Oryctolagus cuniculus: one gene and its partners. The protein of the gene in region 5 purifies or fractionates together with the protein of the main gene of each other region. This does not show direct contact. Links are inferred from orthologs where the notes say so. Each region holds a gene or a part of one and is shown on either strand. Other genes may lie near its edges. The genes, in order: SNAP23, PTTG1IP, VAMP4, SNAP29, STX7, NAPG and NAPA.

What was found.
Region 1: the proteins of STX7 (region 5) and SNAP23 purify together in Homo sapiens (affinity purification with mass spectrometry; 3 studies listed by BioGRID and IntAct, counting the BioPlex papers as one, with this or other methods). This does not show direct contact. The link is inferred for Oryctolagus cuniculus from reciprocal best matches to the Homo sapiens genes STX7 and SNAP23.
Region 2: the proteins of STX7 (region 5) and PTTG1IP purify together in Homo sapiens (affinity purification with mass spectrometry; 3 studies listed by BioGRID and IntAct, counting the BioPlex papers as one, with this or other methods). This does not show direct contact. The link is inferred for Oryctolagus cuniculus from reciprocal best matches to the Homo sapiens genes STX7 and PTTG1IP.
Region 3: the proteins of STX7 (region 5) and VAMP4 purify together in Homo sapiens (affinity purification with mass spectrometry; 3 studies listed by BioGRID and IntAct, counting the BioPlex papers as one, with this or other methods). This does not show direct contact. The link is inferred for Oryctolagus cuniculus from reciprocal best matches to the Homo sapiens genes STX7 and VAMP4.
Region 4: the proteins of STX7 (region 5) and SNAP29 purify together in Homo sapiens (affinity purification with mass spectrometry; 3 studies listed by BioGRID and IntAct, counting the BioPlex papers as one, with this or other methods). This does not show direct contact. The link is inferred for Oryctolagus cuniculus from reciprocal best matches to the Homo sapiens genes STX7 and SNAP29.
Region 6: the proteins of STX7 (region 5) and NAPG purify together in Homo sapiens (affinity purification with mass spectrometry; 3 studies listed by BioGRID and IntAct, counting the BioPlex papers as one, with this or other methods). This does not show direct contact. The link is inferred for Oryctolagus cuniculus from reciprocal best matches to the Homo sapiens genes STX7 and NAPG.
Region 7: the proteins of STX7 (region 5) and NAPA purify together in Homo sapiens (affinity purification with mass spectrometry; 4 studies listed by BioGRID and IntAct, counting the BioPlex papers as one, with this or other methods). This does not show direct contact. The link is inferred for Oryctolagus cuniculus from reciprocal best matches to the Homo sapiens genes STX7 and NAPA.

The regions. Positions count from the first base shown.
Region 1 is NC_091443.1:65,560,024-65,563,523, forward strand, and holds part of SNAP23 (synaptosomal-associated protein 23), read left to right. Parts: intron 1-291; coding exon 292-450; intron 451-1,667; coding exon 1,668-1,812; intron 1,813-3,500. UniProt on the Homo sapiens protein: Essential component of the high affinity receptor for the general membrane fusion machinery and an important regulator of transport vesicle docking and fusion.
Region 2 is NC_091435.1:1,731,988-1,735,487, reverse strand, and holds part of PTTG1IP (pituitary tumor-transforming gene 1 protein-interacting protein), read right to left. Parts: intron 2,945-3,500; coding exon 2,836-2,944; intron 1-2,835. UniProt on the Homo sapiens protein: May facilitate PTTG1 nuclear translocation.
Region 3 is NC_091438.1:26,827,091-26,830,590, reverse strand, and holds part of VAMP4 (vesicle-associated membrane protein 4), read right to left. Parts: intron 2,298-3,500; coding exon 2,197-2,297; intron 903-2,196; coding exon 823-902; intron 1-822. UniProt on the Homo sapiens protein: Involved in the pathway that functions to remove an inhibitor (probably synaptotagmin-4) of calcium-triggered exocytosis during the maturation of secretory granules.
Region 4 is NC_091452.1:29,626,593-29,630,092, reverse strand, and holds part of SNAP29 (synaptosomal-associated protein 29), read right to left. Parts: intron 3,227-3,500; coding exon 3,030-3,226; intron 1-3,029. UniProt on the Homo sapiens protein: SNAREs, soluble N-ethylmaleimide-sensitive factor-attachment protein receptors, are essential proteins for fusion of cellular membranes.
Region 5 is NC_091436.1:36,549,354-36,553,510, reverse strand, and holds the start of STX7 (syntaxin-7), read right to left. Parts: upstream 2,801-4,157; 5' UTR 2,671-2,800; intron 1-2,670. UniProt on the Homo sapiens protein: May be involved in protein trafficking from the plasma membrane to the early endosome (EE) as well as in homotypic fusion of endocytic organelles. Mediates the endocytic trafficking from early endosomes to late endosomes and lysosomes.
Region 6 is NC_091441.1:67,737,920-67,741,931, reverse strand, and holds the start of NAPG (gamma-soluble NSF attachment protein), read right to left. Parts: upstream 2,801-4,012; 5' UTR 2,609-2,800; coding exon 2,553-2,608; intron 1-2,552. UniProt on the Homo sapiens protein: Required for vesicular transport between the endoplasmic reticulum and the Golgi apparatus.
Region 7 is NC_091449.1:10,127,484-10,131,621, reverse strand, and holds the start of NAPA (alpha-soluble NSF attachment protein), read right to left. Parts: upstream 2,801-4,138; 5' UTR 2,603-2,800; coding exon 2,505-2,602; intron 1-2,504. UniProt on the Homo sapiens protein: Required for vesicular transport between the endoplasmic reticulum and the Golgi apparatus. Together with GNA12 promotes CDH5 localization to plasma membrane.

The DNA of each region.
Region 1 (3,500 bases), on a different chromosome or scaffold from region 5:
ACCAGAAGCCAAGGGAACCTGAGAAAATCAAATGATTGCAGTTTGCAACTTGCTAACAGCTTAGTGAAGATTTGACAGAAGTACTATCTGGGCCCTTTAAAAATGATTTGATGTCAGTGGGTTTACTAATTCATCTTTTTCCTATCCCATGTTGCCATGAAGTGAAGCATAGATTCAGCAATATCAGCTTTTCTGCTAGATTTTAGGGTCTTCTTCAAGATGAACAGTACTAATTATTACAACTGTCCCTCTCCTGCTTTTTGGTATCTCCGTATTCCTGACTCTTAATAGGACGAAGAACTTTGAGTCTAGTAAGGCCTACAAGACAACATGGGGAGATGGTGGAGACAAGTCGCCTGGCAATGTGGTGTCTAAGCAGCCGGGCCGGGTAACAAATGGTCAGCCTCAGCAACCAAGCACCGGGGCAGCCAGCGGTGGATACATTAAACGGTATGCCAGCTCCTCCCTCTGTCTGCGCCTTTCTAATCTCTCACGTGAACCTAACTTAGCAAATAGAAATAGTGCTTTTTCCATTTTTGAAATATATTTCAGAATCTGCCTGTGACAAAAACGTTGACTGTGGTTGTTGCCTGTGGATGATGGAATTAATTTCTCCTTATACTTTTCAGTACTTGACTGTTACTGGAGTAATATTTTACTTCTGTAGATGGAAAAATATGTATCATGTAGAGCAGGGACCGGCTGGGTTCCTGTAAAGGGTCAGGCAGTAAATACTTCATACAGTTGCAGTTGCAGTTACTCGGCTCTGCTGCTATAGAACATAGCCACATAGCATGCATAATCAAATGAGCATGATTTATTTTTGGGGGCTGGCATGTAGCACAGCAGGTTAAGCCACTGCTTGTTTTCAGCATCCCATGTTGGAGTCTGGTTCAAGTCCTAGCTGCTCCACTTTTGATCCAGCTCCCTGCTAATGCATTCACTCCCCAAATTGCCTCAAGGCTGGGACTGAGCCATGCTGAACCCAAGAGCCAGGAACTCTATCCAGGTCTCCCACATGGGTGGCTGGAACCCAAGCACTTAGGCTGTCATCCACTGCCTTCTCAGGACATTAACAGGGAGCTGGATATGAAGTACAGCAGCCAGGACTCAAATTGGCCCTGTAATATAGGATGGGATGCAGGCCTTGAATAGGCCCTCTAATATGGAATGCAGGCATTATAAGTGCTGTCTTAACTTGCTGCACCACAGTGCTGGCCCCTGGATAAACTTTATTTACAAAATCAGATCGCAGGCCAGATTTGGCCTTTTAGCCGTAGTTTTCATACCTCTTTTAGAGCAGTGGTTCATTGTACCTAAGCATGCATTAGAATTACCTGGAGGGATTTATTAAAATATAGATTGCAGGGATGCAGTAGAACTAGAGGTTGAGTATGAGAATTAGTGTGATCCTGTGTCTAACAAGTTCTCAGGTGATGCTAGGAATCACATTTTGAGAAATACTGTTCTTGTTCTATAGTTGTTTTCTAATCTTCTCCTCCATGGTATTAACAAGCTGTGCTCTCCTTGATCAGTCTTTCAATTTTTATTATTCAGTAAACCCCAAGAATAGTAACTTACATCCCCTTGAATATTTTTATGAAAATTAAATCCAGACTTAGGCCATTTTAATTGGACAGAAATAATTAACTATCTTTTTATCATAGTATCACTAATGATGCCAGAGAAGATGAAATGGAAGAGAACCTGACTCAAGTGGGCAGTATCCTGGGAAATCTAAAGAACATGGCCCTGGACATGGGAAATGAGATTGAAGCTCAAAATCGACAAATAGACCGGATTACAGAAAAGGTAAAGTCTTTTTATGACCACAAGAAAATGAGACATCCAATTTGTTTTTTTTTTTTTTTAACTTTTATTTAATGAACCAATTTGTTTTGATAGTGGACATCTGTGCTCGATACTTGGGGGAAAACAATTAGAGCAGATCTTGTCCTCCTAGGACTTACAGTTTTGATGAGGCAACATTTTCTAGCACACTGATAAACAAGAGCCACATCTTCCTGTCTCTTGTATGGCAGTTGGTTAATTTGAAAGCATGGCATCGCAATGACTTCATACATGAAACTATTATTATCTTTGATGGTGCTTTTATTTATTTTTTTAAAAACCCTGAATAAGTTCACTTTTTTGTTTTAAATATTTATTTATTTGAAAGGCAGAGGCAGAGTTACAGAGAGGCAGAAACAGAGAGGTCTTCCATTGCTGGTTTACTCCCCAAGTGACCGCAACAGCCAGAGCTGGGGAGATCCGAAGCCAGGAGCCTGTAGCTTTTTTTTTTTCTTCTTACTTTTTTTTTTTTTTTTTTACTTTTTTTCCTTTAAGATTTATTTATTTATTTATTTGAAGGGCAGCATTACAGAGAGGCAGAGAGAGAGAGAAAGAGAGAGAGATCGGTCTTCCATCCACTGGTTTACTCCCCAGATGGCCACAATAACTGGAGCTGCACTCATCTGAAGCCAGGAGCCAGGAGCCAGGAGCTTCTTCTGGGTCTCCCACGTGGGTGCAGGGGCCCAAGGACCTGGGCCATCTTCTACTGGTTTCCCAGGCCATAGCAGAGAGCTGGATTGGAAGTGCAGCAGCCAGGACTGAAACCGGCACCCATTTGGGATGCCAGCACTGCAGGCAGTGGCTTTACCTGCTACACCACAGTGCCAACCCCTATAAGTTCACTTTTGAAATTTTATTTTTTTTAACTAATAAATTAATAAGTTCCTGAATCCTCACCTCCTGAAAGTGTTAGTAGCAAATATCATTTCTGCAGGATGGTGTTTGTGGAGTATTCATACAAGAGTGATATGATTAATGGAAAATAGATTTTATTTTTCATTTTTACTTCACATGATCAAAAAGATACTGAAAGTAAAATTATTTTCAGTGTTTGGATATGTCACATCTAAAGATCATACTTCATTTAAATCTCAGACTACTTTAAGGGATGGGGTGAGTTTTTAAGTTTTGCTATCCAACCACTTTTGCTAGATTTCATTGAAGCAAATAATGGTTCATAAGGTACTTTCAATGTTGTGGTCTAGGTTTAGGCTACATATTACTCATCATTTAAATTCAGATATTGATGTGGGTGGTAATGAATCTGTCACAGAGATCTTTGGGAAGGTTATTTCAGTCTGTGTGGATTAGATCTAGTGTAGCTCCAGCTGAGATTCTATGATTTGGTTCTAATGATTCTCATTAAGATCCAGGTCTATAACAGATAAGGACATTTTTCTGTTTTATTTTATCAAAAATCCCATTGATTAGGGCTGGCACTGTGGCATAATGAGTTAAGCTTCTGTCTACAATGCCAGCATCCCATAAAGGCACCAATTCAAGTGCTGGCTGTTTCACTTCTGATCCAGCTCCTTGCTAATGTGCTTGGAAAGTGGTGGAATGGCCTGAATCCTTGAGTCCTTGCTCCCACATGGGAGACCCAGATGAAGCTCCTGGCTGTGGTCTGGCCCAGCCCCAACTGTTGTGGC
Region 2 (3,500 bases), on a different chromosome or scaffold from region 5:
TTAGAACTACAAATGCAGATAGAATACAAGTTTTACAATCTTTTTCAAGAGCTACAAATTAAAACCCATTAAGATTTTTCTATTCAATTCAAAGCAGAGCTGGATTCATTCCAAATGCTGCGCCCCCCCTTTTTTTTTTTTTTTTTAAAGATTTACTTATTTATTTGAAAGGTAGAGTTACAGACAGGCAGAGGTAGAGAAAGAGAGAGAGAAAGGTCTTCCATCTGATGGTTCACTCCCTAGATGGCTGCAATGGCCAGAGCTGTGCCGATCCGAAGCCAGGAGCTTCCTCTGGGTCTTGCACATGGGTGCAGGGACCCAAGGACTTGGGGCACCATCTACTGCTTTCCCAGGCCACAGCAGAGAGCTGGATGGGAAGTGGAGCAGCTGGGACCTGAACCGGCACCCATATGGGATGCCAGCACTGCAGGCGGTGGCTTTACCTGCCACTCCACAGCGCCAACCCCCTCAAATGCTGCTTCTGCAAATATGCTTTTCAATGCCATTACAGCATCTTCTAGAAGACAGGGCCGACAGCAAACTTCCTCTGAGCAGCGGGTCCACGGACGATTCCAAAGTTAAAATCTCCCACCACACAGAGCCATGCTTTCTAGCCTCCTGTTCTCTCAGCTGCGGCAGGTTTGGAAAGTGAAGTTTTTCAGGTAACTTGGCCTCAGCAGGAGGGAGGCTGACACCCAGTGCTCTGGGCGTCCACAGTCCACCCACTAGGCCTGCTGTGAAGATGCCCCTCCTGGGAGCTACTTGCGCACTGAGCGCATTTTTAGCCTCTAACCTCGTCTTCAAATCAGCAGAAGTGTCACACCTGATCAAATGCTGCTTGAGCTTTAAAATCATGCCTTTCCTCCTCTGACCTGCTCGTACAAAGGAAGCTGCAGAACATGGTGGTGGCATGAACAGAAAGCAGGCCTTCACTGGAGCAGACATGGTGGTGGCATGAACAGAAAGCAGGCCTTCACTGGAGCAGACATGGCGGTGGCGTGAACAGAAAGCAGGCCTTCACTGGAGCAGACATGGCGGTGGCGTGAACAGAAAGCAGGCCTTCACTGGAGCAGACATGGTGGTGGCGTGAACAGAAAGCAGGCCTTCACTGGAGCAGACATGGTGGTGGCGTGAACAGAAAGCAGGCCTTCACTGGAGCAGACATGGGGGTGGCATGAACAGAAAGCAGGCCTTCACTGGAGCAGACATGGTGGTGGCGTGAACAGAAAGCAGGCCTTCACTGGAGCAGACATGGGGGTGGCATGAACAGAAAGCAGGCCTTCACTGGAGCAGACATGGTGGTGGCATGAACAGAAAGCAGGCCTTCACTGGAGCAGACATGGCGGCGGCATGAACAGAAAGCAGGCCTTCACTGGAGCAGACATGGCGGTGGCATGAACAGAAAGCAGGCCTTCACTGGAGCAGACATGGTGGTGGCATGAACAGAAAGCAGGCCTTCACTGGAGCAGACATGGCGGTGGCATGAACAGAAAGCAGGCCCTCACTGGAGCAGACATGGTGGTGGCGTGAACAGAAAGCAGCCCTTCACTGGAGACGGCATACTTTTCTAGAGCCCTCTAGAAAAAGCAATTCTAAAAACCGATGAGATCAGTGACATTTTCCGGTTAGCAGCTGACACTAGTTATCAAAGAAAAAAGAAGTCCTGTCACAATGGGAAGCAAAACTAGGGGCCCCTTTTGTGTTCACCCTGCAAGGCCAAAACGCAAGAATCTCTACCAAGGAATGCAAAGGCCAAACGGAAGCGCAGAGGCGACAACTGGCTTCTGAACAAGAGGCACATGGAAAGGGGCTCCCTTTTCTCCGAATGAGCGCATACTGAAGTTCCTGCAATAAAACCTCCGCATATCTGCTTCAAACTGGATACAATGATTCCAAAATCATCTGTAAGAGGAAGCACCCTGTGTAGGTGGCACCTGGACCTCTGGAGAAACCAGGAAGGCCCTGAGTGGCTCCCCCAAGATCCTCCATTCAGCTCCCGCTGACAGGGGCCCAAACAGCCCTCCTTCCTTACTGCGGGGCCAGGCACAGGGCCACCCTACCCCTGAGCACAGCTCTGGTTCCTTCTCAGCCCTCAGATTCAACCAAACTTGGGATGAGGGGGCACCCCGTCCTTGTGAGCTGCACTCACATCCTTGACTGCTTCTCCTGTGTGGCTTACGTGTCCTCCTCCTGGGCTACGGCCATGCGGGACACATCGAACAACTATGACAGACTGCTGTCAATCTCATCTGGGCAAGGCTGGATTCATGTTTGGCAATCCTTGTAACTCGGGGTAGGGATTCATCCACATGAGAATCACAGAAAACACCTATCCCCGTAAAAGGCAGTCGACATCATTAATCATGGGAGAAATGCAAAACAGAACCACAGTGAGAAGGGACCGCACACTCCCTAGATGGTCTAAGCTGGGACGGCTGACTACCCTGAGACGGGAGGAGGTGGGGCAGCGGGATGCCCCACACTGCTTGAAGAACACGACTGGTACAGTCACTCAGACCTGCACGGCAAACCGTGTAAGGCTAACCAGAGCTGTGTGGAACAGTGAGGTCAAGGGCGACGGGCAGAGTTTTCTTTCTATGAGAGTCAACAGCAGAACAACTCCGTAGTGACGGGCGGTCAGCACAGTGGCCGCCCCCGAGGTTCTGACGGGAACAGGCTATCAGGCTCTTCCGGAAGTGCTGGACATGCCCTGCACAGTCTGCTCTGAGTGGGGAGAACCTGTATCTGCATGCAGAAGTTCACTGTGATTTGCAGAATTTTCAGGAAAAAAAAGAAAAGAAGGCACTGACGAAGCAAATGAACACAACAACTTACCCCAGCACACACCCCAGCGTGCAGAACTCAGTTTACAGAGAGAAGCAGGTGGCAGGACTTTCGTGACCGGGTAGTCCAGACATGCCTTGTTAGTGTTGCACCACAGACACTGTAAGAGATCAACAAAGCAGCAGAATGGCCAGGACCTGAGCACCACCCACTGCTCCTACGGCCTCTGCGCACGGCCGCCCCTCTCCCCCGGGCCACTGTAATGCCGTGGCCTCCCAGTGCGTCTGCGTTCACCCTCACTGCCCTTCAGTCAACGCCCTACAGCTGAGCTCCAGGTCGCCTCGCCCAGCAAGGCCACAGCCTCCGCGAGCTGCCAGGCCCCGCTTGCAGTCTGCTTGCTCTGCCTCGAGCAGCCTTCCCGAGACCGCCGCCGCAGGGCCCGCCCTCACCACACTGCTTGGCTTCTGAGCAGCTCCACACCCTGGCACCCCAGGCACACACTGTGTGCATCACACCTTGTCTGCGTGAGGGCCTGGCCCTGAGTGTGTGGGGGGGGGGGGTCACGTGGGGACCATGGCAACCACTCTGTGTAGAAGGGCCCCAGGCATCCTGCCTCAGGCATGAACGGCTGCTGTTAGGAAGGTGACGCAGAGAAGTTTCGAGGCTTCTCCCAACGCTGCTCAAGCCCTCCACGAGTCCGGGAGCCCGCATGTCAC
Region 3 (3,500 bases), on a different chromosome or scaffold from region 5:
AACCCAAGACAACTTTCGGAAGATCTCCTTAGCATATGGAAAGGTGAGTTTACAAAGTTATTGCTAAACTTGAAAATGAGAGAATAAAAGCAATGAGCTTATGTCTAAGACTTTCAACAAAACCAAAATCATACCTAGAATCAGGAGAAAAAAGGATTTGCTCTCATGATATGAAACTTGCTACAAAATTTTAAAAGAAACATTTGGTGTTTAATAATTAGTAACCATATTTGATTTAAGAGATGAACTAATTTCTATGAAATGTTTTGCAGCATATTGTAATTCTCATCTTCTCTGTGTTAAAAAATTCATTTATTTCTTTTTTCTCTGCATAATGAGGGATTTGGGGACTTTCTCTTAACCCATTTGTCATTACTGATTCTGACAAATTGCTTTTACCTTCCCTTTTTCAATGGAAAATCATATATTTCTCTAGTTATACTTTTATTTTTTAACATCTCTTATATACTATAGGTTGCACCAATAAGAACTAAAAATAAATTATAAGAAAAATGTATATTTGTTAAGATAGTAAGTTTAGAAGTAGTTATTAATAAAATGGGGATTATTTTATGAAGAAATTGACATAAACATCTTTGTAGGTATTGCTTGATTATTCTACTTATATCTGTCTCAAAAGTAATTTATTAATTCAACAAATATTTATTGAGTTCCCAACATGTCTCAAGTTCAGGAGACACAATAAGTAAGACAGCAGTAGTCCTGTCTTCATGAAACTTATGCTCTAAGGTCCCAGTTTCTTCACATCTTTGAACACACTTGAGATGTTGGCCAATCTATCCACTATCTTGATTCACTTACTTTGCATCCACGCCACCACATTTGCCTTCGAAGTTGTTTGGATCTGTTGCTAAAAGCAGTTGCATTATCCGATAAGCTTTCTATATCACATAGAGGATGGAGAGAAGTATTAAACGATATAACAGGATTCTTTTATCTAGTCACACAAAGATAAGAAAATATTAAATTTCTACATATGCAAATGTGTTCCCTTTTAAAAAAGCATGAAAACAACTTTCTCCCTTTCTTCCACCCACACACTCTAGCATACTACATTGTTTAAAAATAGAAACAAAAGGTAAAAAACAGTTGCAAGTTACTTTGTCCAATCCATTTTTACTGTAAAATTAAGAAAAATCTTCCAAGGACTTCCATGCTTATAAATAAACTAATAAATTTGGGTAAGAAAATACTCTTTAAAAATACAAATACTTGGCACATCTCTAGAAAAAATAAATTCCATATGGAAAGGATTAACTCTTAGAAGATACTGAAAGTGAATAGTTCTGGGGGAAAATAATATGAATTTGAAAAATGCTTAAGCAAGGTTTTTGTTTAAGCAAGCCTGTCAAGGATTGATCAGGTATTCAACCTGTCAAGGATTGATCAAGTATTCAACCATTTACCATTCAAGTGACTAATTTGTGTGAGGAACTGTTACATCTATACAGGTTAACATCTGTTAATAAAGGGAAGTTACTGAGTTGCAAGAAAAAAACATAAATTAAAAATATCGGGGCTGGCGCTGTGGCACAGTGGGTTAATGCCCTGGCCTAAAGCGCCACATCCTATATGGGCGCCAGTTCTAATCCTGGCTGTTCCACTTCCAACCCAGCTCTCTGCTATGGCCTGGGATAGCTGCAGAAGATGGCCCAAGCCCTTGGGCCCCTGCACTTGAGTGGGAAACCTGGAAGAAGCTCCTGGCTCCTGGCTTCGGATAGGCGCAGTTCCGGCTGTTGCAGCAAACTGGGGAGTGAACCATCAGATGGAAGACACCTCTCTCTCTCTCTCTCTCTCTGCCTCTCCTCTCTCTGTGTAACTCTGACTCTCAAGTAAAAAATAAATCTTTAAAAAAATCACTGAAGTTTAAAATAAGGGTTGGGAAAAAGTTATTAGATTTTTATGCCTTAAGATTTTTATGCCATGAGAAACTCAAAGCATATCAAAATAACAGAGCAAAGGAAAAATAGCTTTACTCTTCACTCAACAGGTATTTATAAAATATTCCATTCTCAACTGACCAATTAAAGAACACAGTTAACTGATTCAAAATAAATGGAGTCAAATGCCAATCTCAAGCCAAGATCCCTAAACATTGGCTACACAAGTGGGAGAAGATATAAACTAGCAGAAACATAGATTAATAATATCAAGAAATATATGAAGTTTGTGTACCTGATTTGTCTTGTAGTTCATCTAGTCTCTCCCCTCTTTCAATTACCTTTGTAATATTTTCTTGCATGACATCAATAACTTCATCCACCTGATTCTGAACACTAGTTTAAAAAAAGATAAAAATTATTCTTTGAGAATGTTTATAATTTTTAAGTTTTCATTAGACAGGATAGAGAATAACAAACTATTAAACTATAAAACTTCAGTTTAAAGCTTTGTAGCAATTTTCTTCCATTTGTGGGCTTGATACTCAGATACTTACAGACACTGTGATATAACTCAGAGACAGTTTATTTATTGTTCTGCTTCTGACCAGTAATGTAACTCATAATCAAATTAAATGTACCGTCAGAATGTTCAACAACTGCAGAATTCAGTCCAACAGCTTAAACCTAAATTATCAGTTTCATTTGCTCATCAGTGGGCTCTCCAGGGAGCATGTAAAGCCATACTGACTTTTGCTGTAGACTTCACACACAAAGGCTAACAAAGTAGTTTGTCTAGGTGTGTTAGAAGCTTATGGAAAAAATCTAGTTTCCAAAATGGAAATGGAAGGCATAATCCAGGAGACACTGATGCTCAATGAGAATAACTCTTCACGACTTGTCACTTTTCTCTAAAACAAACAGGGCTCAAGACAACGAGGAACACCCAGGAATATACTGAAGTACCAACCAGGAAGCAAAGAGGAAAATGTTTTTGTTGTCCTTCCAAATAAAAATGTTTTCCTCTGTTAAATTAGGTTATGGTGTGGGCAATGAAGGTTTAGCCAAAACTTAAAAATTAAAAACTGATACTTAGCTAGCAACTTTCATTCAGAGCACGCCAAAACAGAAATGTTTAAATATTTTAAGTGTCTAGTTTTCCTCTGTTGCTCCAGCCACAAGACAAAAAAATGTTTTAAATTTCTTTATGAGTAAACATGACAATGAAATATTTAAAATAAGAAATAAAGTGCATCACAGTTCTTTTTTTTGTCTTAATTAATATTTTATTTGCTCTTTTTTTAACTTTTATTTAATGAATATAAATTTCCAAAGTACAGCTTATGGATTACAATGGCTTCCCCCCCAATAACTTCCCTCTCACCCGCAACCCTCCCATTTCCCACTCCCTCTCCCCTTCCATTCACATCAAGATTCATTTTCAATTCTCTTTATATACAGAAGATCAGTTTAGTATATATTAAGTAAAGATTTCAACAGTTTGCACCCACACAGAAACACAGAGTATAAAATACTGTTTGAGTACTAGTTATAGCATTAAATCATAATGTACAGCACATTAAGGACAGAGATCCTACA
Region 4 (3,500 bases), on a different chromosome or scaffold from region 5:
TGGCTTCTGGCTCCGTATCACACAGTTCCAGCCATTGCAGCCATCTTGGGGAGTGAACCAGGGGATGGAAGATCTCTCTCTCTCTGCCTCTCCTCTCTGTGTAACTCTGACTTTCAAATAAATAAATCAATCTTAAAAAAAAAATAAACTAAATGAACATCCTACCTTTCCTGTGGCACAGGTTGAGCATCCTAGCCTGAACACCTAAAATCCTAAATGCTCCAAAACCCTAAACCTTTTTAGAAAAAGATTGATTTATTTATTTGCAAAGGTAGAGTGGCAGAGGGAGAGGAAGAGATTTTCTATCTGTTGGGTCAGTCCTCAAACGACCAACAATCAGGGCTGAGCCAGGCTGAAGTCAGGAGCCAGGCTCTATGTGGGTCTCCCAGGTGGGTGGCACAGACTCCAGTACTTGACTCGCTGCATCTCTGCTGCCTCCCAGGAGCATTAGCAGGGAGCTGGATCAGAAGCAGAGCAGCCAGGACTTGAACTGGTGCTCCATCATCGGATGTAGGTGTCCCAAGTGTGGCTTAACCTGCGGTGCCACAACTCCTGCCCTGCCCCCAATCTGAAACTTCTTGAGCGCTGCTGAGTTTTAGATCTTGGAGCATTTTGGAATTAGGAATGCTCAATTGGTAAAGTCTATGCAAATATTCCAAAATCCAAAAAAAACTAAAATCTGTAACACTTCTGTCCCAAGCATTTCTGATGAGGGATACTCATCTATAATTAAAAGCAGCCAAAGAAGGCCGGCGCCGCGGCTCACTAGGCTAATCCTCCGCCTAGCGGCGCCGGCACACTGGGTTCTAGTCCCGGTCGGGGCGCCGGATTCTGTCCCGGTTGCCCCTCTTCCAGGCCAGCTCTCTGCTGTGGCCAGGGAGTGCAGTGGAGGATGGCCCAAGTACTTGGGCCCTGCACCCCATGGGAGACCAGGATAAGTACCTGGCTCCTGCCATCGGATCAGTGCGGTGCGCCGGCTGCAGCACGCCAGCCGTGGCGGCCATTGGAGGGTGAACCAACGGCAAAAAAGGAAGACCTTTCTCTCTGTCTCTCTCTCTCACTGTCTACTCTGCCTGTCAAAAAAAAAAAAAAAAAAAAAAAAAAAGCAGCCAAAGGAAAACCCAATTCTGTTATGAGAAAGAGTGACAGGGATTTAAAGTTAGGGTCGGGGCCGGCATTGCAGCATAGCAGGTAGGGCTGTCACCTGTGATGCTGACATCGCTTATGAGTGCTGGTTTGAGTCCCGGCTCCTCCACTTCTGATCCAGCTCCCTACTAAAGCACCTGGGAAAACAGCAAAGATGGCCTAGGTAATTGGGCCCCTGCACTCACGTGGGAGACTCAGATGAAGTTCCTGGCTCGTGACTTGAATCTGCCCCAGGCCTGGCTGTTATGGTCATCTCGGGAGGGAACCAGCAGATGCAAAATCTCTGCTTCTGTCTCTCCCTCTTTCTCTCTTTGTAACTCTGCCTTTCAAATAAATGAATTAATAAATCTCAGAAGTAATTAATTAAAATCAGGGTCAAGCTGGAAAATCTGCGCGAAGTGGTGGTTGGGCCTAAGCCAGACAAATCAACCCTGGTGCATCTACGGGAGTAGCCCCAGGGCATTGCAGAGGCCTGCTTTCCTCCCTGCAGTGTCCGATCCAGACGCCCGGAGCCTCCCCCACCTCTTCTCTCTGCTACCATTACTGGCTCTTTACCAACATTCCTTTCTTCCCAGACCCACTCAGCTTCAGGGAAGACTACAGCCCGATACAGCAGAGTGCTGGTTTGAGGACCAGCTCCTCTGCTTCAGGTCCAGCTTCCTGCTGAGGCTCCCAGGTGGCAGCAGACAACGGCTCAAGGCCTTATTGCTCTGCCACCTCTGTGGGTGATTTGTATGGAATTCCTGACTCATGGCTCCAGCATGGTCTAGCCCTGGCTGTTGTGGGCATTTGGGGAGTAACCCAGTGGATGGAAAAATCCCTCTATGCCTTTTGTATTATTTTTTAAAATATTTGTTTTTATTCATTTGAAAGAGAGTTATGGAGAGACAGAGAGAAATTTTCATCTGCTGGTTCACTTCCCAAATGGCTTCAATGCCTGGAGCTGAGCAAATCCGAAGCCAGGAGCTTCTTTCGGGTCTCCCACGTGGCTACAGGGGCCCAAGGACTTGGGCCGTCTTCTACTGCTTTCCCAGGCACATTAGCAGGGAGTTGGATTGGAAGTGGAGCAGTCAGGATTTGAACCAGTGCCCATATGGGATGCCAGTGCTGCAGTCTGGGGCTTTATCCTGCTGTGCCACAGTGTCTGCCCCTGTATCTTTTAAGTAAATGAAAATAAATAAAAAAGTGAAAAGCAATGGGCAAATTGAATTATATGTAGAACACCTGGGTGGGAAAAATGACTTTTTAAAGTACAGATACTGCTGGGGCCAGCTCTGCAGTATAGCGGGTTAAAGCCCTGGCCTGAAGCACCGGCATCCCACATGTGCGCCAGTTCTAGTCTTGGCTGCTCCTTTTCTGATCCAGCTCTCTGCTACAGCCTGGGATAGCAGTACAAGATGGCCCAAGTGCTTGGGTCCCTGAATCCACGTGGGAGACCCAGAAGAAGCTCCTGGCTCCTGGCTTTGGATTGGCACACCTCTGACCATTGTGGCCATCTGGGGAGTGAACCAGCGAATGGAAGACCTCTCTATCTGTCTCTACCTCTCTCTGTAATTCTGTCTGTTAAATAAATAAAATAAATCTTTTAAAAAAATAAAGTACAGATATTGTGTAGGGAGTCCCTTACAGCCTGATCTAACTTTCTGAGGTGAACACTCTCAGTACTGGGGTGACAATCAGTATAGCAGGAATTTACTGGAAACCCAACTTATGCACAATCTGCAGACTAGGTGCCAATCAAATACATATAATCAGGCGTGGGAAGATGGGTTAACACAAAACCCTCCTGAAGTATAACTTACAGGCTTCCTGAATCCCCTCATGGCTCGGCCAAGGCCTGGAAGTCTTCCGTTCACGCCAAAGCCCACTTCTGCTACACTCACCTGCTGTTGGGCTGGGGGGTGCCGGTGCCATTCTGTTCAGGGGCCGCCTCTGCGGGTTTGGATTTGAAGTAATTGACAAGGCCCCCGAACATGCTCTTAATGCTGTTGATGTGCTTCTGGCTGGTCTTCAAATCTTGGTCCATCTTGTCCACCATCTTCTCCGTGCGTTCTAAGACTCCTCGCTGACGGACGAGCTCCTAGGAAAGACACGTGGCAGTTATCCTTCTGGTAGTTCTCCCTGGCCCATGAGAACCACATGTGGGTACTCCATAAATGCGAAGCACATGTCGGGGCAGACGCTGTCACCTGTGAAGGGCACGTCATCATTTTTTGCTTAAAAGATTTATATTATTAATTTGAAAGGCATAGTTAGAGAGAGAGTGAGCACTTCCATCTGGCTGGGTCACTCTCCAAATGGCTGCAACGGCTGGAGCTGAGCTGATCTGAGGCCAGGAGCTTCTTCTGGGTCTC
Region 5 (4,157 bases):
ACTATAAACTGACCTAAAAGGTTATGAACTTTGCATACAGGTTAAATTGTTGCCAAGTTTTTCAAATGTTTGCTTTCCACATCTGTTTTCAGGACCTAGCTCAAGCTGCTACTGCCTAAAGCACTCTTATGGAATCCCTTTCAAAGTCCATTTAGAATTCCTAGTTTCATTCCTCAGACTGACAATTACATAACATTATCTGGACCTGCACTGTCTAACAGAGTAGTCACAAACTCCATAAGCTATTAAAACTACAATTAAGTCAAAAGAAAAATTCAGCCCTGAGTCATAACAGCAACCTCTCAAGGGTTCAAAGATTGTATGTGGCTAGTGTCCAAAGCCCAGACAGCTCCTGGACCGTCCACTTCCATGCTTGCAGCAAGTTCTGCGAGGATGATGCTGATCTCACCTCGGTAATTATCTTTGTGGAGATATACGAGGTCTGGGCACTACAAAGAGAAAAAGGGGCAGGGTAGATCAAAGCGCAGCACTCATAACGAGTCTTCTCAGACTGCTTCTAAAGGAACAAAGGGAATTTCAAAATGGAACCCTGGGTGACAAACACTGTCCTCACTTACCAGTGGCCATGCTGCAGAACCTTTAAGATTCCAGTAAGCATAGATCTTGTGTTCTTTAAATCTAGGCTGGGCAAAGAAGTGGTCAGTTTCACTTTCTCAATCATCAGCACCAGCATATAATACTGAATTTCTTTGCAGGTTGTGCACCAATACATAAGTTCCCGGAGTCATGGGGGTGATAACTTGTGTGTGTGTATGTGTGTGGACTGTTTGATTTTCAGAATTCAGGTACATAATAGGTGCTCAATTAATATTTGTAGAACAAATGAATAAAATGACCATACTTCTGAGAGACATGGACCCATCCTGAGGGTATATATAAGGGGTCTTCAGAAAGTTCATGGAAAATACCTATCACAAAAAATTTATGCGTGAATTTCAAAAACGTTTTGCACCAAAATAAACTTATCTTTTCTTTCTACTTCTACATAAGCATTCTGATGTACATTCACACTTCCATTTCTAAAGCACTGGATTCCAAAGCCTCTTTCAGATCCCAAAAGGATGCCCCAAGGTTATGGTTGTCTTGTGCCTGATGCCATTTCCCAACCTTGGAATGCTCTTTCCCGTGATCTGCACGGGACAGGCTACTTTTCCCAGGAGTTATCTATCACATGCTAGAGAAAGCCAGGCCTGATGTGAGAATTCACCACTCCTGCCACTCTGTCATTCTCTCTCAGTGCTCCCTAACACTCATCACTATCTAATTATTTAATTGGCATATGCTTATGTCTATCCTCATCTTTGGAACACAACAGATATCCAACGTTGTCATCTTGTGGTACGTGTAGTACCAGGTGCACAGTAGATGCTCAATGAAAGTGAGAGCGCTCACTACGGCTTAGTAATCTCTACACCTGCTCAACAGAGGCATTCCTCAAGCCACTACCTCCACAGGATGAGCCATTACACTACTCAGTGTTAGTTCACATTACCAAGGGCTTTGTTTTCACTTTTCCCACATTAAGCTTTCAAATTACATGGAATCACAGGAAAGCCTCACTCAGACTTACTGCAGATATTTTATATAATTTAATTTTCAACTACCAGTACTTGGCTGAAGTTTGGGAACATAACTAAAATTAGAATTGACTTGTTATCTGCAGCATAAGTAAAACATCTGAAGGAAAAATGACATAAACTTTGTAGAAGTGAATGATACTCATTAGACACTTTCAAACTACAGCCCAATTTCTAACTTGTCACAAGGCTGAGGCTGATCCACAACACCAGATGCAGATGTAGTGGAACATTTTTTCCCCCAGTCTCTGCCCAGGTGCAGCTCAGAGCAGAAGGAACACCCACCTCCGACATTACTAAACAGTACAGCATTTCATAATTACTTCCTTTTCTTCCAGATTCCGGGCAAGATTTAAATTATATATAACTGTGTCGAATACAGTGATCGGAGGTACAAAAAACGAATACACAAGTGTAAGAGCCAAGCAAATGTCAGAAATATGAGAGAGAAAACACAGCATTTGATCATAAAAGCAATGTTCCTATTAACCCATTCTGTCTAAATTTAAAGAAAGAGAGGGGTATGGAGGTGCTCGGAATTCTTAAAATATTGTGATTTCCAAGGCCTTAAAAATGTAATAAAAAGAAAGTTGGCATGTCAAAGTCACCAAAGCCAAACACAAAGGGCCGCTGAACACACGTCTAGGGTTTGTCTACCACAAGCATTTGACTCTCGTGCCCCTGTTTTCGGGAAGTTTCAAGCATGTGTTTGTCGACCCGTAAGTTAAAAGGAGGAAGAGGTCTCTTGTCTGTTCTCTCCAGCCTCGGGAGCGCAGCCCTGGGCGGCTCCAGGCGGCTGCCACCCGGCAAGCGCCGGACTGGCGGAGCTGGCGAGGCCGGCCGAACCGCCTCACCTCGGCCGCGAGTGCGGGTCCAGCGACGGGCCCGGGGGGCTTGGGGACGGCCGGCGCTCCGGGAGCACGGGCAGCACCCGCCCTTCGCCTCCCGCGAGTCTGCCGCAGAGCTCAGGGCGGCGGCCGGCGGACCAAGCGCACAGAGCAGGTGGCAACGCTGCAGGGACACCGCGACTCCGGCCGCCCAGCCAGAGCCCCCTGCCCCACGCCTCTCTTACCCTGACCACTTCGGCTTCCTCCTCCTCCAGCGGCCGCTGTCACCCCGGGGCCCCACAGCCCCCAGCTGCAACTCTCAGCTGATGGGCGGCGGCACAGGAACACCCACTGCGCATGCTCCCAGTGTAACCCGGAGAAGAAGGCGAGGCTAGAGGGGCTAGCTCCTCACCCATTGGCTTTAGGGACTGAGTGACAGAGAACCTCTCCCGCCCCCTCTGGTTCACAGCGAAGGAATGGAAGCGCCAGCAAAATTGCAGGGGGCAGTTCTTTGAAGGCGGGCACACAAATGGTGGAAGCCTTAGCCTGCATACAGAAGAAAAGAGGAGGAAATGGAGGGTATTCGTCTTCTTCATCCCATGAAGCCAACCCCCTGGACTCGTGCCTTCACCCCGCCCCCGCCTTAGGCTCTTCCCTGTCTCCTTTCCTAACCTTTAACTCCGCCGTAGACCGAATGCACAGCTCCATTCGAAAATGCAAACGCAGATACGCCATCCTAGCAGGAACAATGAAGGGACAGGGGAACACCCCGGGTACTCACTCAGTGGACTAGCTTTTCTTGATCACGCAAGTCAGTCCAAACATCCTTGAAAGGCAAGAAGCAATCTTCGTGGACTTTAAAATTGGAAGAGAATGTTCCAATAATAAATATTCAATAGGAAGTATTACCTGAAAAGCATCAGTTGCTTCAAGTGAGAGAAATACTTTACTAAACTAATTAGAAGATACAATGGCTTGGCCTTTGCTCCTATCAAGGCAACATTGTTTTCCAAAAAGATCATAAGATTAAGTGAGAAGTCTAGGGCTACTTAGAAAAGCAAAACAAAACACTAAGCACAAAGTGTTTTGAATTAGTACTACTTAGAAAATTCTAGGCTGTTTGGTGTTATACATGCACATGTATATCCCTGAATACATCAGGACTAGTCTTTACCTCTGTGAGATGGAAATAATACAAAGAGATGGGCTTGCTGGCCAAGTAGAGGGCACACCCTCACCTAAAGGCAGTGTGATTCAGATATGACCATTGTGAATGTTTGGGAATATTGGCCAATAAAGTCAAATTGTCTGCTTTTCGGGATATAGTGGAAATTCTATTTGTGTGTGTATGTGTGTGTGTGATATGTGAAGTTTTCTTTTTTGATGTTCTCAAATTGTTATGAAACATTCTCTGATCAGACAAAGTATGTGTTTGAACTCAAATAGTAGGCAGCAGTGACAGCCCCTGAAGCTGGAGAGACCCTTGTGGAAAATCTAGTGCCACTTCCTCATTTCATAGATTAAAGAAACCGAAACCCAAAGAAATATGAAAATCACAAATTATGAACAGCACAGGTCCAGATAGCCTAATTCAGAATTTAGAATCTTTCCTACTGTTTCATTCATTCAGAAAATGTTCATTGAGATCCTGCCACATGCCAAGTACTGCAGATGTCAAGGTAAGTAGGATGTAGTATTTTCTTCAAAGGAGCTTAAGGAGTGGAGGTCCTTC
Region 6 (4,012 bases), on a different chromosome or scaffold from region 5:
CGTTCTGTCCTAAGAGTCAATAGGAAATTGATAGTTTCTATAGGAAAAGCACCACAAATTTGGGAAGACTTTTAAAAATTTAGCTTATTTGAAGTGGGGTGGGGGTAGGGGGGAAAGGGAGGTTCTCCCCTCACTGGTTCAATCTCCAAAATGCCCACAAGAGCATGGGTTGGGCCAGGATGAAGGCAGGAACCCAGAATTTTATCTGGTGGGTGCAGGAACACAACCACTTGGGTCATCACCTGCCACCTCCCAAGGTTCCTATCAGCAAGAAGCTGAAATCGGGAGAAGAGTCGGGAACCAGGTACTCTGATATGGGATGCCAGGGTCCCGAGCTGCATCTTAAGTGTTATCCCAAATGCTTGCCTTTGGGATGATTCAGTATAAAACTACTCAGTAATACTGAACTACATCATCACTAGAAAACAGAGAAAAATCATATTTTCTTTTCCTAAGCTCCTGACCCATTTTTTCTGCCACCATTGAGCAACTAAAGGTACTTAAGCATAACACATCAAGCCTGAATCCAGCATCTCCCTGCCCCAGCCTCCCCGTAACTGGGCCCATTCACCTATACCCATTACCACAGCAGGCACCCTCCTCACTCCATCTCCCAGGTTAAACCCAGGTGCCAGCTTCACCTCCATACCCCAGCAGGTCATTACGGTGACTAAATGTCCCTGGATCCTGGCCCCAGGACCATTACTTTAACACAGCCCACGGATGGGTCTCACAGCACCTGGAGGCGGAGCTAACAGCCCCGCCTTTCTCCCCCACTCCAGCTCTTCCTTGCCACGTATCTCCGCCTCCCCATGGAAGGTTGTCCGCTAGCGCTGGAAACCTGTTTCCCTCAACTGCTCACTCACCTACCCTCCTGTGCATCTGAGCTCTCCAGGGAGAGGCTACTTCTGCTTACTCCAGCATCCCCCAGCGGCTGGCGCGGGTTCAGAGAAACAACTCTGTCGCCCTGCCTACTGAGTACGCCACAGCTGCCCTGGGCCCTGCAATGCTCCCATATTTATTTCATCAAAACCAAAGCTAAGCAGGCCCACTGGTTATTCACTGCCTAGAAAAGTTAGGGTTCACGGCCATCCCTTCATACTTGGCCCCAACTCTTCATAGATAATAAGCTGTACTATGGTCCTTCTCACATACACACCACTCTAATTATACTTTTTTATTTTTTTTATTTTTATTTATTTATTTATTTTTTGACAGACAGAGTGGACAGTGAGAGAGAGAAACAGAGAGAAAGGTCTTCCTTTGCCATTGGTTCACCCTCCAATGGCCGAAAAGTGAGACAGGGTCAGTGCTGGGGCTCAACGGGTTAAAGGCCTAGCCTGCAGTGCTGGCATCCCATATGGACACCGGTTCGAGTCCCGGCTGCTCCACTTGCGATCCAGCTCTCTACTATGGCCTGGGAAAGCAGTGGAAGATGGCCCAAGTCCTTGGGCCCCTGCACCCATATGGGATATCTGGAATAAGCTCCTGGTTCCTGGCTTCGGATCAGCGCAGCTCCAGCCCTTGGGGAGTGAACCATCGGATGGAAGACCTCTCTCTCTGTCTCTACCTCTCTCTGTAACGCTTTCAAATAAATCTTAAAAAAAAAAAAAAAAAAAGACGTTGTGGGGGCCTCCTGAACAGACGGCCCCAGGACCGCGGGCCTGGAAGCAACATGGAGGAACAGAAAGCGCTTGAACTGTCCAGTTTGAAAACTGGCTCATCCATCTTTCAACACTACAGCCTGAGCAAGCGGTAAAAGGAGACTCTCCAATTGGAAAGCTGTCTCGAAGTAGCAAATTATGAATGGAAGCACCCCCCAGCCCACAGTGGCGGTTTTTCAGCATGGAGAAATGCCAGATTAAAACATTCGCTGCAGTGACGATTTTGGGGGAGAGGGGTGTGAGGTCAAAAGGATTGGTTAAGGAGAATCAATGCAGTTCCACCAACAGGAGCTGAGCGCCTACTGTGTACCGTACCCGTATGGCGACAGGACCGACACAGAAAGGGAGAAAAGGCACAGCTGTCGCTCCCAGAGCAGTAGGCTTGGCAGATGAGAAGGGTCTGCAGACGGATTTTCGGGACAAATCTACAGCCCCCTCCATAACTCTGGGATTCTTCCACAGCAGCGGTTTTCAACAGGAAGAGTTCGCTCCCCAGGGATATTTGAGTTGTCGCAAAGGAGGGAAGGGGACGGGGGGTGCTACTGGCACTGACTAGACAGACGCCAGGGACGCTGCCAAACGTGCCACAGTGCACACGCCAGCCCCCACCCAGGCAGCCACCCTGCCCCGAGGGCCGCGGTCAGAGACCCTGGCTGGACGGAAAGCAGCGAACTCCGCACCGGGAGCCCGCTCTGCACCGCACGGGATCCGCGCGCCGAAGACTTCCGGCTGTCGGGCGACCTTCGATCCCCAGGCGCAGCGCCCGGCCCCGGCCAGAGCCCCCGCCAGCGTCCTGGGCGTCAGCGAGCCGCGGATCCCAGTCCCGGTGCCCTCCCGCCGGGTGCGAGGACCCCGCCAGGGAAGCCCACGGGAGGGTCCCTCACTCACTATTTCTCGGCTTTGGCGAGGTGCTCCAGCCCCTCGTTTATCTTCTGAGCCGCCATCTGCACCGCCCGATCCCTGACGTGGAGGGCGACGGCGCCTCCTCCGTGAGCCCCGAGAAAGCAGGGCCGAGTAGGCGTGGGAACACCGCGAAGGAAGCCGGGACAGCGCGACACGGCCGCCGCAACGGAGGGCCGGAGGGCTCAAATCTACTGCGGCGAAGTGCGGCCGGAAGCCAAGCCCGCGCTCCCGCCGAGACTGCGCGCAGGCGCAGAACGGGGGCTCGCTTGGCCCCGGAGCTTTAGCGCAGTGTGGTGGAGTTACTGCAGGGGGCATGTTTGTTCGTTGACCAAACAGGCACTGCTGCAGGCCTCGGAAGATCAGTAGGGAGTACAACAAAAACCCTGCCCTCATGGGAAAACCTGTGCATTGTGTTTGTAGAGTTAGGGGACTGGTTATCAGATCTGAAGTTTGTGTGTGCCATAGCTGGAATCCTATTAATTTTGTTCACCCATTCTGCCTGTTGAGCATCAGTTAAATGTCAGTCAATAAGCAACACAGACTGTAACCCCTGATTACTGTCACAGACTCACTCCCGTGTTCCAAACTGTGGAAGGGTCGCTTGAGACAGCCTAGTAAAAACAGTAGTGAGTACTACTCTTGGCTCCATTCATAATCCATGGTGAGTCCAGTGCCCACTCGGGTGATTCCTCTAATGCCTATTCAGCTTCTCCGTTTCCAACCGAGCTAAACAAACAGCAGAGAATGTTGATACTTGAAGCTAACAGAGCATTGCAATAGGAGTATGCAGCCCGTAGGCAACTTATGGGCATGCTCAGAGACTGAGGCAAGGGGAAGTTTTTAAAGGCAAAAAATGAAGTGGATTACATCAGAGGTTTGAAACAATAATCTTGCACCGCGGTGCTTGGTAACAAGATAGTCGTGAGCCTGAGGCAGGGCCATTGCTGGGTGGCTGTCTGCAGAAGTACTTGCTGGGAGAGGCGGCAGTGCCCTACCCAGGTAAGTTCGTGGTTCCAGCAGTCTGTTGTGATAATTACTATTGGGCAGTTATGCATAAGCATCCTTCCTTCATCACCCCAGCTCAGCCACCTGTTCCCCAGGTCATATTCTTGCCCTTGCTTTTCACTGTGTCAATTTCAACCAGCCCACTTTCCACCCTCCTGTCATTCCAGCCCCCACATTCTGCTGCCTATGAGACTTCACCTTCAACACATCCCATCCCATTTTCCCATCCTTCTGCTCGTATACTTCCCTCTCTACCCAGCACAAAGTCCATGTTTTATCATATTAGCCATTCTCTCCTGCATACACTGCTATGATGTGAATGTTTATCCTCTCAAACAGTCTAGTCCCCAAAGTCTTATGCTAATGGTACAAGTAGAATAGATGCTTCATTTCTATTTGGTGTTTAGAGATGGGGCCTGATGGGAAATGATGAGATGGGG
Region 7 (4,138 bases), on a different chromosome or scaffold from region 5:
CCCCGATGCGGGGTGCCAGCGTCGGGGCAGCGCAGGCCCCAAAGCTGCTTCCTTTCTCCCGTGGAAGACTGGGGGGGAGGGGCTAGAGGGCGGCAGCTCCCCGAGACCTGGTGTGCCGCGCCCTCCCCACTGCAGAGCTCTGGGGGCTCGGCCCTGGCCCTGGCCCTGGAGCAGCCGCTGCGGCACGGCAGGGCAGAGTGAGCGCCAGGCCGGGCAGCGCATGCTGCTCCAGCACCTACGGCGATGTCTCTAGGCCTCCGCTATCCACGGGGCTTTGGCGAGGACGGAAGCGCCAGGCCCGGCGTCAGGAAGCACGGGCGGCAGCGTCCCCAGTCGCTGCTCAGACCCAGCACTCTCCTCTCGGGCTCGGCTCAAGTCCAGGCCCTCGCTCGCTCGTGGCCTCACCTTGGCCCAGCCCCAACCCCCTGCACTAAACCTTCACAGGCCGCGCCTCACAGCTCCGCAGCACACGGCTCCCCCGATGGCCCATCACGCCCGAGGGAGACCACCCCTGGCCGTCCCTGTCACCAGGTGAGGCCTTTGCTCACAGCACTCATGCCAGGCGCCGTCCGCCCGAGTCCTGCAGGCTTTGAAGGACATCACCCAGCCCACCTTACAACCAACAACCCAGCCTCACTAGTCCACGCCAAGTGTCGCGCTCCCCATCCCAACCCAGCAGCCTGTCCCAGGCTGGCTTAGCTGCCCGCCCCCCCCCCGGTGCAGCCCAGCGGGGCCCTAACCCTGGGCCAAGGGCACCAGACACCACCAGCCACCCTCAGAACAGCGCACTTGAATTACACACACGCATGCGCACACACACGGTCTCCACTCAGTCTACAACAAAACCCATGAGGACCCGGACGTTTTCCTTTGCTGTTATCCCACCTCCAGCAGCAAGGGCAGGCTCAGTCTCCTGGAAAGACCCTCCCCCCCCCGCCTCCCAGACCCCCTTCCCCGGCTTGCAGCAAACCCCAGTCCCATTCCCCGTCCTAAGCTCGGCCTCAGCGGCTTCCCGCTGACCTCCACTACCCCTCCCCGGCCCCCGTGCCCTGACCTCTGCTACCCCTCCCTGGCCCTGACCCCCCAAGGTTCCAGCTGACCTCTGCTACCCCTCCCCGGCCCTGATCCCCCAAGGTTCCAGCTGACCTCCGCTACCCCTCCCCGGCCCTGACCCCCAAGCTTCCAACTGACCTCCGCTACCCCTCCCCGGCTCTGACCCCCCAAGCTTCCAGCTGACCTCCGCTACCCCTCCCCGGCCCTGACCCCCCAAGCTTCCAGCTGACCTCCGCTACCCCTCCTGGGCCCTGACCCCCCAAGGTTCCAGCTGACCTCCGCTACCCCTCCCCGGCCCCGTGCCCTGACCCCCCAAGCTTCCCGCTGACCTCCGCCACCCCTCCCCAGCCCCGTGCCCTGACCCCCCAAGCTTCCCGCTGACCTCCGCTACCCCTCCCCGGCTCTGACCCCCCAAGCTTCCAGCTGACCTCCGCTACCCCTCCCCGGCCCCGTGCCCTGACCCCCCAAGCTTCCCACTGACCTCCGCTACCCCTCCCCGTGCCCTGACCCCCCAAGCTTCCCGCTGACCTCTGCCACCCCTCCCCGGCCCCGTGCCCTGACCCCCCCAAGTTTCCCGCTGACCTCCGCCACCCCTCCCCGGCCCCGTGCCCTGACCCCCCAAGCTTCCCGCTGACCTCCGCTACCCCTCCCCGGCCCGTGCCCTGACCCCGCTAAGCCCCGCGGTCCGCAGGCCTTCCCTGCCCCTTTCGGCTCCTGAGCCGCTCCCCGGCTCCCGCCTGGCTCTCTACCAGCCCCCATCACCGCACACCTCTTTCCTTGCAGGGCACTCCCAACACTGCCAGCCACCACTTCGGAGCGCTCGCCATCCGCCAGCCCAACGCCGCCCGGCTATCGACGGGGAGGAGACAGCTCTCACTGGCTACCCCTTCGTCGGGGAGATTAAAACTCACCCAGGTCGCGGGCTGAGCGGCAGCCGCACCCCAAAGCCCCTCAGTGCGGCCGGCCCTGAGCTGCCGCCAACTTCCGTGGGCGCCTGCCGCATGGCAGCCGCTAGTCCTGTCCCCAAGCCCTCAGGCCCTGTGCGAGCCCTGTCCTTACCGAAGGGCTACGCAGCAGCCCCCTGCCTGGGCTCGGGAAGGTCAGCCCCTTGGGCAGGTGGCCCCAGCCCCAGGCCCCGGCGCGACCCCTCAAACAGATCCCCCGAGGGCTTGAGAAGGCTTTGGAACCTGGCCCCCGCGGCTGGTCCCCGCCAAGGCCACTGCCCGTATCCCCTTCGCCCAGGTCTCCGCTGGCCTCTGAGCCCGTCTTCAGCCTGGATCCCCTTCCCCGCCTCAAGAGGTGGTCGCCCGGGCCCGTGGGTCCCCAGCCCAAGCCCCTTCGGCCCTCTCCCTGGAAACCGGCCCCCGCACCGCGCCTCCCCCGCCACCCCAGGCCGTGACCCCTGCGGCCCCCAGCCCAGGTCCCGGCCGACCTTTCGGCCTGGTTCCTACCCGAACAGGCCTGAGAAGAAGGACTGCGAGTTCTTCACTTTGCGCTCCGCCTCGGCGAGCAGCGCCATCGCCTCCGCTTCCTTCCCCGAGTTATCCATGGCGGCCGCAGAGCGAACTCAGCGAACCGCCCGACCCGGGCCCTGGGAGGACTCAGGCCCGGCCGGGCCGCGGTACACAGGTCCCGGGAGCTTAGCTGGCTGCGTTGACGTCGCACCGGCGCGCGCCGCCCGAGGCCGGGCACCAGGTGACTGGCACTGGCCAATCAGGGACCTCGTAGCGCGGCGCGCTCCCCGCTGGCCACGCCCCGGCAGGCCGCCGCGCACCGCCCCGTGACTCTCGACGCATGCGTAGCCACCTGTTTTGCGCCTCTCTTCCGGATGCTCCGCACCCACCACCTCGTGACGCCGCACTAGCCAATCGTAGCCCTCACCGTCAGGGACCCACCCCCAAAGTGCTGCCGCAGTATTTGCCTTTCCACCAATCAGCAGCCGCTCTCTGCTCGGGTCCGCCCCACCTTGCGGAAGTTGGGCACGGGTCAGCTGGAGCGGCGGCTGTCACGTGACAACTTCCGGCGCACGCCTGGGTTTGACAGTTCTCTTGCTCGGTGTTTTAGTCCCGCCTCTAAGCCTTGTCTCGCGTGGTTCCTTTCACTCGAAAAGGCCTCAGTGGGAAAAAAGGGGAGCGTTCTGCTTTCTCTTGCGCCCTCTGCCGGCCGATGCTGAAACTGGCGCGGGAGGCCCGTGCAGTGCTTGACAGATGGGAGCGCCTGCAGCCGCGCGTGCGAGATTCAGGCGAGAGGGGGACGCAGGGACGGGGCAGAGAACGAGAGGCGTCGCCCCCGGAGCTTGTTTCCCAGGGGCCGGACTCGCCAGTCTGAGCCGCGGGGCCGCGCAGAGCGTGGGGCGCTGCTGGCGCCGCGGGGGGCCCCTCTCGCCGTGGGCCCTCCGTCCTGGCGGCTTCCCCGGCCAGCCGTCCGGCAGGGAGCTCGACCTGGCCGCTGGCCGCAAGTCAAGCTGTCTGCCTGCCGGCGGTTCCAGCATTGCCTGGTGTCTTGATCTTGATTTTTAGTACTGCTCCCCTTCCCTAGTAAGAGCCGAGGGGGCCACGGCTGCTCAGTGCAGGGTGGCGTCGGATTGACCTCAAGAAGTCAGGGCACAGACGCTGGCCGGCCACACGGTGCCCAGATCGGCTTGTTCACTGCATCAGAGGTACCAGCCTAATGGCAAGCGTGGGGAAGCTGTGGGGTCTGGAGTTTTGGGAACCTATTCTGAAAAGCTGCTTTACAGAGTCAGGTTGCAGGGCCCGCCCTGTCGCGATCCCCATTCTGAGCCTGCGAGGCACAGGAGTCCATTTCTTTCCAGAGCCCCGCCCAGCATGGGACCGGCGTGTGCACGCGCAGTGCTGTGCGGGGCTGGGGTTGACTGACCAGGGCACGGCAGGCCGACCTCTCGCCCAGCTCTCTTCCAGGAAGCGCTTTCCCGAGCCGCTGCTTGTGGCGGCCGCTGTGTGCGGACCACAGCCTCGGCGGACGTCTGTCTGGATCGCCACAGGCAATTTCGGTCCCGTGCCTGTCCAAGCAGCACCGGTACCAAGCTGTCATGTGTTTTAGGCTGTCGGATGTAAAGCAATAGGCA